Mus musculus: one gene and its partners. The protein of the gene in region 2 interacts with the protein of the main gene of each other region in a pairwise test. Links are inferred from orthologs where the notes say so. Each region holds a gene or a part of one and is shown on either strand. Other genes may lie near its edges.

The links.
Region 1: the proteins of Ttc19 (region 2) and L3mbtl3 interact in binary tests that used the Homo sapiens proteins (3 or more experiments, as listed by UniProt). The two-hybrid records come from large-scale screens. The link is inferred for Mus musculus from reciprocal best matches to the Homo sapiens genes TTC19 and L3MBTL3.
Region 3: the proteins of Ttc19 (region 2) and Tcap interact in binary tests that used the Homo sapiens proteins (3 or more experiments, as listed by UniProt). The link is inferred for Mus musculus from reciprocal best matches to the Homo sapiens genes TTC19 and TCAP.

What each region holds. Positions count from the first base shown.
Region 1 is NC_000076.6:26,371,170-26,375,390, forward strand, and holds the start of L3mbtl3 (lethal(3)malignant brain tumor-like protein 3), read right to left. Parts: upstream 2,904-4,221; 5' UTR 2,532-2,903; intron 1-2,531. UniProt on the Homo sapiens protein: Is a negative regulator of Notch target genes expression, required for RBPJ-mediated transcriptional repression. It recruits KDM1A to Notch-responsive elements and promotes KDM1A-mediated H3K4me demethylation.
Region 2 is NC_000077.6:62,308,868-62,312,515, reverse strand, and holds part of Ttc19 (tetratricopeptide repeat protein 19, mitochondrial), read right to left. Parts: exon of another isoform or gene 3,475-3,648; coding exon 3,323-3,474; intron 1-3,322. UniProt on the Homo sapiens protein: Required for the preservation of the structural and functional integrity of mitochondrial respiratory complex III by allowing the physiological turnover of the Rieske protein UQCRFS1.
Region 3 is NC_000077.6:98,382,419-98,385,592, forward strand, and holds Tcap (telethonin), read left to right. Parts: upstream 1-1,392; 5' UTR 1,393-1,428; coding exon 1,429-1,538; intron 1,539-1,733; coding exon 1,734-2,127; 3' UTR 2,128-2,535; downstream 2,536-3,174. UniProt on the Homo sapiens protein: Muscle assembly regulating factor. Mediates the antiparallel assembly of titin (TTN) molecules at the sarcomeric Z-disk.

The DNA of each region.
Region 1 (4,221 bases), on a different chromosome or scaffold from region 2:
AGGCGGATTGCTGAGTTTGAGGCCAGCCTGGTCTACAAAGTGGGTTCCAGGACAGCCATGGCTACACACACACACACACACACACACACACACAAAACCAAAAACAAAAAAAAGAATACAGTAATGGTTGAGTGGTAGTGGCACACACCTTTAATCCCAGAATGCCTGAGGCAGAGGTGGGTGCATCTCTGTGAGTTGGAGGCCAACTTGGCCTACAGGGAGAGTTTTAGGACAACCAGGACTACACAGAGAAACCCTTCATTACCCGTCTCCTCCCCCAAAATCTAGTAACAAGGAACTGGGAGAAGGCAAAGTCAATAAAGAGACAGCCAAGAAAGCACAAAGACCCGAGTTCAGATTCCCCAGCACTTCCCTAAATCCCTAAATCCCGGAGCGCTCTCCTCTGTAACCTGAGCACTGGAGGGAGGGCCTGCAGCTCACTGGCCAGCCAGTCTAGCCAATCAGTGAGCCAGGTTTGGAGAGAGGGAGGGGGGAAAAAAGGATGACTGGGAGCAGAGCAGGAAAGCTTGTAACTGTAACAACTCAAGCTGGTCTCTGGCCTCCCATGCAACCATACCAAAGGCACACATACGCTACGGGACACTCCTTTTTGCCCAATGCTTCTTTCACCTTTTCAAGCACGCCTACTGTCTACTTGTTCAAACATTCAAAGCAGTTCCCACAAACTTAAGTTTTGTTGTTGTTTTCCTTTCTACTAACCCTGTCACACACTCTCTTTAATTTCCAGCTGCACTGGAAACCAAGTGTCCAGTGAAAGACATCTGTCTGGTGACCTTCAGAACTGCTGTGTACCCCCAAGACTTCTTTTAAGGATCTAGCATTGATTATATTGGAGGAAAAGGAAAACAAACAAACAAACAAACAAACACCCTCAAAGCACTCTCATAAAGCCCTCGCATCCATAATATACAATTCAAACTCAACACCCATCACACCACACTGCACTGTGTATTCAAATTAACTAGGTACATGTAAGGTGAAATTAATTTTAATCACTCACATCATTCCCGTACTCTAAACCACATAATAAAAATTCCCATTGTAAATAAGACTGTTACCCAAGCACCAGGAGGGAAATACAAATTCAACTCCAGCCTGAGCTACATAGATGGATGGACCCTGTCTCTTTCACTGTGACGGACAGGTGGTAATTACAAGAATGATTCTATACAACCTTAATCCCTCCTGTTTTTATCCTTAAAATTCAATGTTTTTTTTTTAAATACAGAATACACACTGGGAAATAGTTATGTAACCCATGCATATATAAAGTGGTTTAAATCGTAAATTATACAAAGTATACTGAAATAAATGTTTTTACTCAGTGAATCAAAATTACACCGTTACGAGAAGATACTATGTATTTTATGAGTATATATTATGTAAGTTTATACGTAAATTGTTGAATAATTTGTTAGCCTGAGATTATATGCATCAGAGACACATACAAAATGATCAGTTCATATAAAAGCTAATTTCAGGTTTGTTTTTTTTTCAGTTTTTTGCAAAGTGCTAAGCACAGGTTTCATTTTGACTTTTCCTTAACATTCCGAATTAAGCTACCTGCTATGAGTCGTAAGAGGGGAAATAAAAAAAAAAAAAAACGGAGGTACAGATGATGGTAAACAGAAGACAAACTTTCTTATCTAGGGAGTGTCAATCTCAAATCTCAGAATAAAAAGCTTTGGTTTTCTTACTGTATGCAAGAAAGGATGGAAATCACAGGGTCCGCAAGCTTAGACGTCATTGTTCTCTGATTTACAAAACTTCTATTTCGGACTAGCATCCTTTCTCACATCTGGCTGCAACTCAGGTCTTCTAATTACTTCCACGTCTAAACGGACTGCATGTAGCTACAAGTAAAGGCCAAACTTTGGTCTTGTCTCTCGAACTTAAGATGCGTTTAACCACTAGAGGTCCCCCCTTGGCCAGTTTTGCAGGCTCACTATTTTGCTGCACTTGAAACTTTCCGGCTCTCTACTCGAGTCAGTGTTTTTCTAAAAACTTGCGCAAAAATCCACGCAACCGAGGTAGCCAGTACAGAGCTTCCCGGGCTCCCCACACCAATAAAGGCATCATAACCAACCACCTACGAAAATTGAAATGAAAATTCAACTCACTCATCCCAGGCGACGCACCTCCCCCCCCCCCCCACACACACACACACTCAAACCGGTTTCTTATTTCTCGTCTCAGTTTCCCTTAACTTAGAACAATTCTTTAACATCTATTTTTGTTCCTGGGCACTTTGGATGATCTTAAATGCATGCTTTTGGCGGTAGCCCCAAGGTGGCAAAGGAGCGGGCCAAGGGATGCAGAAGGCGGGGGGGATGGGCCCAGCAAACTGCGCCCGAGAAAGTTGCATAAGGAAAGAGACTCCGTTTTTCGGGTCCCCCCCCCCTAAAAAAACAAAAAAAAGAAGAAAAATAAATCAGCGGGGAAAGGAGAGGAAAAGGAAGCTGGGCGGTGGCTGCAGGAGGACAGAGAAGGAAAAACCAAAGCGAGTTTACCTTCGTGTCCCCGTGGAAGGGTGGGGCAAGAGCCCTGACCCACGCGACCCGGCAGTGCGGCTGGATCTCCCACCCGTTTGGTCGGAGCGCGGACGGACAGACAGACACCACGGCCGGACGCGAAGAAAGCCGCCACGCTGGTCAACTTTCTCTCACGGCCCCGCGGTGGGCCGTGATCGGATCAGATCCGATCGTGAGGTTCGGGTCCTAGAAACCCCCACACACATGCACTTTTTTGCCTTTTGGATTTTTTTTTCCTTTTCTCTTTTTCCCTTTTTCTATTCTCCCAAGAAGGCGATTAAAGTTTTCCCTCCGCCAGTGCGCCCCTGGCCCCGCCGCTCTCAAGTTTGCCTCCTCCTCCGGCCGGCGGCTGGCTGGCTGGCGGGGCGCGCGGCGGATGCCTCCGCTCCTGCGCTTCCCGATCCCCACCCCCGCCGGCCTCTACTTCCCCCGCCCCGCCGCCGCTGCGCGAGGCCGGCCCCGCCGGGCCCAGGACGCGAGCGTGGACCAGACAGTAGCCCATGAGCGCAGATCGGCGCACGCACGGGTGGCGAGGCGGACCCCGGCCGCCGGCCTCGGCCACCCGGGGCGGCGGTAAACAAGTTGCAGGCTCCACGGCCCCCGCCGCAGCCCGCCACCGCCTCGCCTCGCCTCGCTCGCACGCCCGCGCCCGCACCGGCGGCGCTGCGCGGAGAAGATCGCCGCGACGGTGCGGGTGCCCGGCCCGGCCCCGCGTCCTCCACCCCGCGGGGACGGCAGTGTCGAGCCCGCGCCGCCGCGTTCCCTAAAAGCACTTTCCTGCTTCCAGCAGGAGGAAAAAAAAAAAAAAAATCCAGCGGAGGCTTTATTTCTTTCTTCTTCTTCTTCTTCTTTTTTTTTTTCCGTGCAACTTTCCCAAAATGGCGGAAATTGGAGGCGATCTCTAGGAAATTCTCCCACAGTCGGCGGCGGGGAGCGGGGAGGTGGCGAGCGGGGAGAGCACACACGCAAACTCTCGGCCGCCGGCCCCGCCGCGGCTCGGGTGTGCGTGCGGGTGCGGGTGCGTGTGCGCGGTGCGAGTCGCGGAGGGAGGCCTCTCGGCGCGCGCTCACACTCACACCGACACACACTCACCGACACATACACAGACACACACAGCCACAGAGACACACACTCACACACACATACACACACACACACATACACACTCACACACATACACACACACACACACACACACACACACACACACACACGGCCGCGCCAGCGAGACGCGCCTCTGCCACATTCAACCAGTCGGTTCTCCGCAGCCGAGCTGGCTGGCGAGCAAAGTGGCCCGGCCTCTTTTCCCACTGCCTCGGTCTCCCGTACTTGGACTTGTCGCGCTCGCCCGCCCGCCCGCTCGCTCGCCCGCCCGCCCGCTCGCTCACCCGGTGCGCGCTCGGCACAAAGGCCACACGGGCGGAGGGGGCCGCAGGGGCGGCGCGCCGGGGCTCGCGTCCTCCCGCCGCCGCACCGATCGTGCCCGCGGTCCCCTCCCGAAGCCGCCCCCTCCCCCCCTTAGGCTCAGGCCGACCGCGCTCGGCGCCCCCGGGGAGGCTGCGGCTCCGCCGCGTTTCCCCCCCACCGCCGCCCCGGACTCGCAGCCCCGCGGTGCCGCGCTCCCCCCCCCCCCCCCAGCGCCGCCACCCAGCACCCGGTGTCAAAAAAG
Region 2 (3,648 bases):
ACAGAGCAGTCAACTCCTACCTCAAGAATGGTTTTTGCAAGAAGAAGTAGAGATGATCTCAAGTCTGTATTAATCCCCCCCACCCTGCTCTCCAACCCACCCACTCCTGCTTCCTGGCCCTGGCATTCCCCTGTACTGGGGCATATAAAGTTTGCAAGTCCAATGGGCCTCTCCTTCCAGTGATGGCCGACTGGGCCAGCTTCTGACACATATGCAGCTAGAGACACAAGCTCATGGGGTACTGGTTAGTTCATATTGTTGTTCCACCTATAGGGTTGCAAACCCCTTCAGCTCCTTGGGTGCTTTCTCTAGCTCCTCAATTGGGGGGCCCTGTGTTCCATCCAATAGATGACTGTGAGCATCCACTTCTGTGTTTGCCAGGCATTGGCATAGCCTCACAAGAGACAGCTATCTAGGATCCTGTCAGCAAAATCTTGCTGGCATATGCAATAGTGTCTGGGTTTGGTGGCTGTTTATGGGATGGATCCCTGAGTGGGGCAGTCTCTGGATGGTCCTTCCTTCCATCTCAGCTCCAGACTTTGTCTCTATAACTCCTTCCATGGGTGTTTTGTTCCCCATTCTATGGAGGGACGAAGTATCGACCCTTTGGTCTTCCTTCTTCTTGAGTTTCATGTGTTTTGCAAATTGAATCTTGGGTATTCTAAATTTCTGGGCTAATATCCACTTATCAGTGAGTACATATCATGTGAGTTCTTTTGTAATTGGATTACCTCACTCAGGATGATATCCTCCAGAACCATCCATTTGCCTAAGAATTTCATAAATTTATTGTTTTCAATAGCTGAGTAGTACTCCACTGTATAAATGTACCACATTTTCTGTATCCATTCCTCTGTTGAGGGACATCTGGGGTCTTTTCAGCTTCTGGCTATTATAAATAAGGCTGCTATGAACATAGTGGAGCATGTGTCCTTATTACCAGTTGGAACATCTTCTGGATATATGCCCAGGAGAGGTATTGCTGGATCTTCCGGTAGTACTATGTCCAATTTTCTGAGGAACCGCCAGACTGATTTCCAGAGTGGTTGTACCAGCTTGCAATCCTACCAGCAATGGAGGATTTGTTCTTCTTTCTCCACATCCTTGCCAGCATCTGTTGTCACCTGAATTTTGCTCTTAGCCATTCTGACTGGTATGAGGTGGAATCTCAGGGTTGTTTTCATTTGCATTTCCCTGATGATTAAGGATGTTGAACATTTTTTCAGGTGCTTCTCAGCCATTTGGTATTCCTCAGTTGAGAATTCTTTGTTTAGCTCTGTACCCCATTTTTCTGATTTTTTTGGAGTCCAGCTTCTTGAGTTCTTTATATATATTGGATATTAGTCGCCTATCTGATTTAGGATTGGTAAAGATCCTTTCCCAATCTGTTGGTGGCCCTTTTGTCTTGTTGACAGTGTCCTTTGCCTTACAGAAACTAATTTTATGAGGTCCCATGTGTCAATTCTTGATCTTACAGCACAAGCCTTTGCTGTTCTGTTCAGGAATTTTTCCCCTGTGCCCGCATCTTTGAGGGTTTTCCCCACTTTCTCCTCTATAAGTTTTAGTGTCTCTGGTTTTATGTGGAGCTCCTTGATCCACGTAGACTTGCGCTTTCTACAAGGAGTTAAGAATGGATCAATTTGCATTCTTCTACATGATAACCAACAGCTGAGCCAGCACCATTTGTTGAAAATGCTGTCTTTTTTCCCCTGGATGGTTTTAGCTCCTTTGTCAAAGATCAAGTGACCATAAGTGTGTGGGTTCATTTCTGGGTCTTCAATTCTATTCCATTGATCTACCTGTCTGTCACTGTACCAGTACCATGCAGTTTTTATCACAGTCGCTCTGTAGTACAGTTTTAGGTCAGACATGGTGATTCCACCAGAGGGTCTTTTATTGTTGAGAATAGTTTTTGCTATCCTAGGTTTTTTTGTTATTCCAGATGAATTTGCAAATTTCCCTTTCTAACTCAGTGAAGATTGAGTTGGAATTTTGATGGGGATTGCATTGATCTGTAGATTGCTTTCAGCAAAATAACCATTTTTACTATATTAGTTCTGCCAATCCATGAGCATGGGATCTTTCCATCTTCTGAAATCTTCAATTTCTTTCTTCAGAGACTTGGAAATTCTTATCATACAGAACTTTCACTTCCTTAGTTAGAGTCACGCCAAGGTATTTTATATTATTTGTGACTATGGTGAAGGGTGTTGTTTCCCTAATTTCTTTCTCAGTGTGTTAATCCTTTGTGTAGAGAAAGGCCATTGGTTTAATTTTATATACAGCTACTGCACTGAAGCTGTTTATCAGATTTAGGAGTTCTCTGGTGGAATTTTTAGGGTCACTTATATATACTATCATATCATCTGCAAATAGTGATATTTTGACTTCTTCATTTCCAATTTGTATCCCCTTGATCTCCTTTTGTTGTCTAATTGCTCAGGCTAGGACTTCAAGTACTATATTGAATAGGTAGGGAGAAAATGGGCAGCCTTGTCTAGTCCCTGATTTTAGTGGGACTACTTCAAGTTTCTCTCCCTTTAGTTTAATGTTGGCTACTGGTTTGCTATATATTGCTTTTAATAGTGTTTTTATAAGTTATGGCCACAGCTCAGTGGTAGAGCCCTTGCCTTGAATTTATGAGGTCCTAGTTTTAATCTCTAGTCCTGCCCCCCTCTCCCTGCCCCATCCCAAATTCAAAAATCTCTACTTCCTCACCTCCCAGTTACCCAGGAGAAAAAGATACTTCTATATGAACTAAATAGTTACTTGCAAGGTTCTGATTGGTATGGAAGAAGCCCCTGGGTCTAGTCCCCAGCTCCAGGAGGAAGAAAAAAAAGATTCTAAGAGTCTACAAACCACTGTAAACATGAGGCTACATATTCTGAAGCCCCTGGGTTAAAAGTCTGCCTTGTACAAAGACTACTGTATAAACCATGACTCAGAAAAGGGCCTATGCAGTGCCAGTGACTTAGTCAGCAATCTCAAACCCTTCCTGAAACAAGTAGTTGGGAGTAGTGAAAGCTGGTGGAAAAAAAATGAACAGACCGGGGAGTGGCAGGATTCCATACATCTGGATATCAACCTGCATTCCTTATGACATTTCACATGGCTAACCATGTCTTGCCACACCCATAACTGATGCTAGTCACTGAATGTAGAACTTTACCAGTGCCATGCAAGCTGAAATACGCCCCCAGCCCTTTGGCATGGGAGCTCACCAACTTTGCCCAGCACCCTTGAACCTGTGACCTTATGACCCTCTACAGAGTACCTGTGCCACCGGGCAGGCCTGGCTTACATACACTGTTTCATCTCTTACCTGTGGGTGTCTTTCTCCTTGTATTTCTTGACAAATCTGCAGGGCTTTTTCATACATCCTTTGTGCCTGTGATAGCTGCTTGGAGAATAGCAGATAGCGTGCACAAGAGTCTAAGCACATACCAAGGAGGAGGTAAGTATTGGCTGTTTCTTCTAAAAGAAAAATAAAAGCGTTGCAAGGATGTAATAGAAGTTATATACAAAGGTCAAAAAGCAAGCCACTGTACTTCATCTTTGTGGCTACCAGGCTTCACTGAATGCTTCAGATACTTAAACTCTTAACCACAAGAAACTGTTCAGGTGGGCAGACAACCAATTAAATGAGAA
Region 3 (3,174 bases), about 36 Mb from region 2:
AGAGAGGGAGAGGGAGAGGGAGAGAGAGAGAGAGAGAGAGAGAGAGAGAGAGAGAGAGAGGGAGAGAGGGAGAGAGAGAGAGAGAGCCTGAGCGAGCTAGTCCCCTCCCAGGTGAAGCAGTGGAACTGCCCAGTCCCAGAGTTCATTCCACCGTGGCTAGAAAAGTAGATAAGGGACTGGAGAGATGGCTCAGCAGTTAAGTGCACTGAGTTCAATTCCCAGCAACCACATGGTGGCTCACAACCACCTGTAATGGGATCTGATGCCCTCTTCTGGTGTGTCTGAGACATGACAGTGTACTCATATACTTTAATTAAATAAAATCTTTTTAAAAAGAAAGAAAAGAAAGGAAGGAAGGAAGGAAGGGAGGAAGGAAGGAAGGAAAGAAAGAGAGAGAGAGAGAAAAGGAAGGAAGGAAAAAAAGAAAGGAAGGAAGAAAGGAAGGAAGAAAAAGAAAAAAGGAAGGAAGGAAGGAAGAGAAAGGAAAGAAAGAAAGAAAGAAAGAAAGAAGGAAAAAAAGAAAGAAAGAAAGAAAGGAAGGAAGGAAGGAAGGAAGGAAGGAAGAAAGAGAAAGAAAAGCAGATAAAGGGAGACTTGGAAAGGGGTAGAGACTGCTCCATGATTATATAAAATAGAGCCAGCTTGAGGCTGGTCTGGATCTCCTAACCCTGTTCAATGGGCTTTCTCTGTTTCTGTCTCACAGTGTTTCTCTCCATGCAGGCAGAGGAGAAGGGGCCACCTCCCCCACTCTTACCTCCTTCACCCCGACTGGTGGGATTTAGGAGAACACTTCTCTAATGATTGGCCCTGAGGAATGAAAGCTCACAGACTCATACCCAGAGGTCGGGTGTGGCAGAAGTGTCCTCTCCCCTGCTGGTGTGTTGCTTTCTGTACAGGCAACCCGAAGACTCGGTTATGTGATCCTTCTGGTCAAGGGACCTCACTATGGTATGTGCCCTTGAGCTCAGGAAGGAGAGACGATCCGGGTAGCATGGGGCAGATCGAGGAGGGCATCAGTTCCTGCTTCTCCTGTTCTGTTTACAGACAAGCTGCTGTCCTCCCTGAGCAAGGGGGGAGCAGAGGAAGACAGTGCCAAGGTGGCACGAGGCTGCCCATGTGCCTGGTCCGAGGTGGTGTTTGCAGCATGCCAGACACCCAGAGGTGCTACTCTGAGAACCCAGGTCCCCAACAGAGCATCTTGCAGGCTTTGAAAGCTGACCTCTGACCTGGGAGCAACCAGAATCTGGGTACCCCAACCCCCGCCCCGGACTCAGAGCCCCATCACCACCAGTGAGTCTTGGCTCTGCTTATAGCATCTGACGCCAGAGGGGCTGAAAATAGCCCCTGGAGAAGGGGGAGAGGGGGAAGAAGGGGCTATTTAAAGGGCTCTGGAGGAGCAGGACATAGCAGAGGGAGCAATCAGAAATCATGGCCACTTCAGAGCTGAGCTGCCAAGTGTCTGAGGAGAACCAGGAACGCAGGGAAGCCTTCTGGGCTGAGTGGAAAGACCTGACTCTGTCTACCCGGCCGGAAGAGGGGTGAGTGTGAATCATTGGGAGGCTCTGCCTCTGCTCCCCCAAAGCACCTGCTACATATCAGAGTACAAGCCCCTGAAGTTTCTGGGGCCCCTCCCCTGCTCCAGGGAACTAGCTATGCCAGGGAGACCCCACTTAGCCCAAGACCAGAGAAGAGCTGCCCTCAGTTCACCACCTTTGTCTCCTTTCCACTTTCAGATGCTCCTTGCACGAGGAGGATACACAGAGGCATGAGACCTACCACCGGCAGGGACAGTGTCAGGCGGTGGTACAGCGCTCACCATGGCTGGTGATGCGCCTGGGTATCCTCGGCCGTGGGCTACAGGAATACCAGCTGCCGTACCAGCGGGTGCTGCCCCTACCCATCTTCACGCCCACCAAGGTGGGGGCCTCCAAGGAGGAGCGCGAGGAGACCCCCATCCAGCTTCGGGAGCTGCTGGCCCTGGAGACGGCCCTGGGCGGCCAGTGCGTGGAGCGCCAGGACGTGGCTGAGATCACAAAGCAGCTTCCCCCTGTGGTGCCAGTCAGCAAACCCGGGCCCCTGCGCCGTACCCTGTCTCGATCCATGTCTCAGGAAGCTCAGAGAGGCTGAGATGGACTGTGTGACTCAGACTCCACTGTGTCTGTCTCAGGCTAGGCACTTCCTGGCTAGGACAATGGAGGAGAGCTGCTGGCAGTGGCTGCTTTGTAGTTTGCCCAGAGGTGGGAGCTATGGGAGGAGGGAGCCCGAGGCCAGGATGCCTAGGTGTCCTGAGTCCCCACAGGGAAGGGAGCGAGGATGGCGGGCACTAGGAGTGGAGAGCTGAGCACCCTCAGCCCCAGAAGAAGAGACAAGAGATCCTGGTGAGAGGAGAGGCCCCTGGGAATGGCCTGCTCGGGAACAGATGGACTAGGAGAAGGATGTGCAACGCTCTGGAAAGGAGGGGGATGTGAAGAGGGTGGAAGTGGGCAGGCCCCCAGCACCCTCTGGTAGCACTGCAATAAATGCTCAGCCATGTTCCACGCTTCTCTCTTTCTTTGTGGTTGGGGTGGGCATGAATGTCCACCGTGCACTTCTGGGAACAGCCAAGCATTGGAGCTAAATCTGGCATAACCAGAGGGTACACTCCATGCTTAGGGGTGGGGTACAGGGGCAGAGCTGTAAACAGGGGGAATGTCTGGTCCCCCTTCCTGTGCCACTGCCCAGCCCTGGCTTCATGTCCAGTTCCTGGCACTGGAGCGTGTCTAGCAGGCCAGCTGGCTTCAAGGTTTGTTTAAATGATATCTGTGGAGGAGGTTATGGAAGGGGCTGGCACCAGGGCCGTCCTTGGCTGTGCCTTGGGGTGTGGATGGGGTCAGTGACCCTAAGGCCTGTCAGTTGTAGATCCAGACAGAATCAATCCTTGGCTGGCATCAGGTGTCCCACTGTCCCTGGCCTGGGTGGGAGGACAGGGTTTAAGTTCCTGTCTGTGACCTCTGCAGCTGTTGTGATGATCCCCATCCCAGCCTGGGTGTCTGGCCTTTGGGATAAGGAAGGGACACTGGGTAGGACTGGATAGAAGACCAGGACTATCTTAGCAGAGGCTAGTAACCCTCCCACCCCAGAAAGACATAGGACTTTCTTAGGACTTAAAGGGTCTCTGCTTTAGCAAGACTGGGG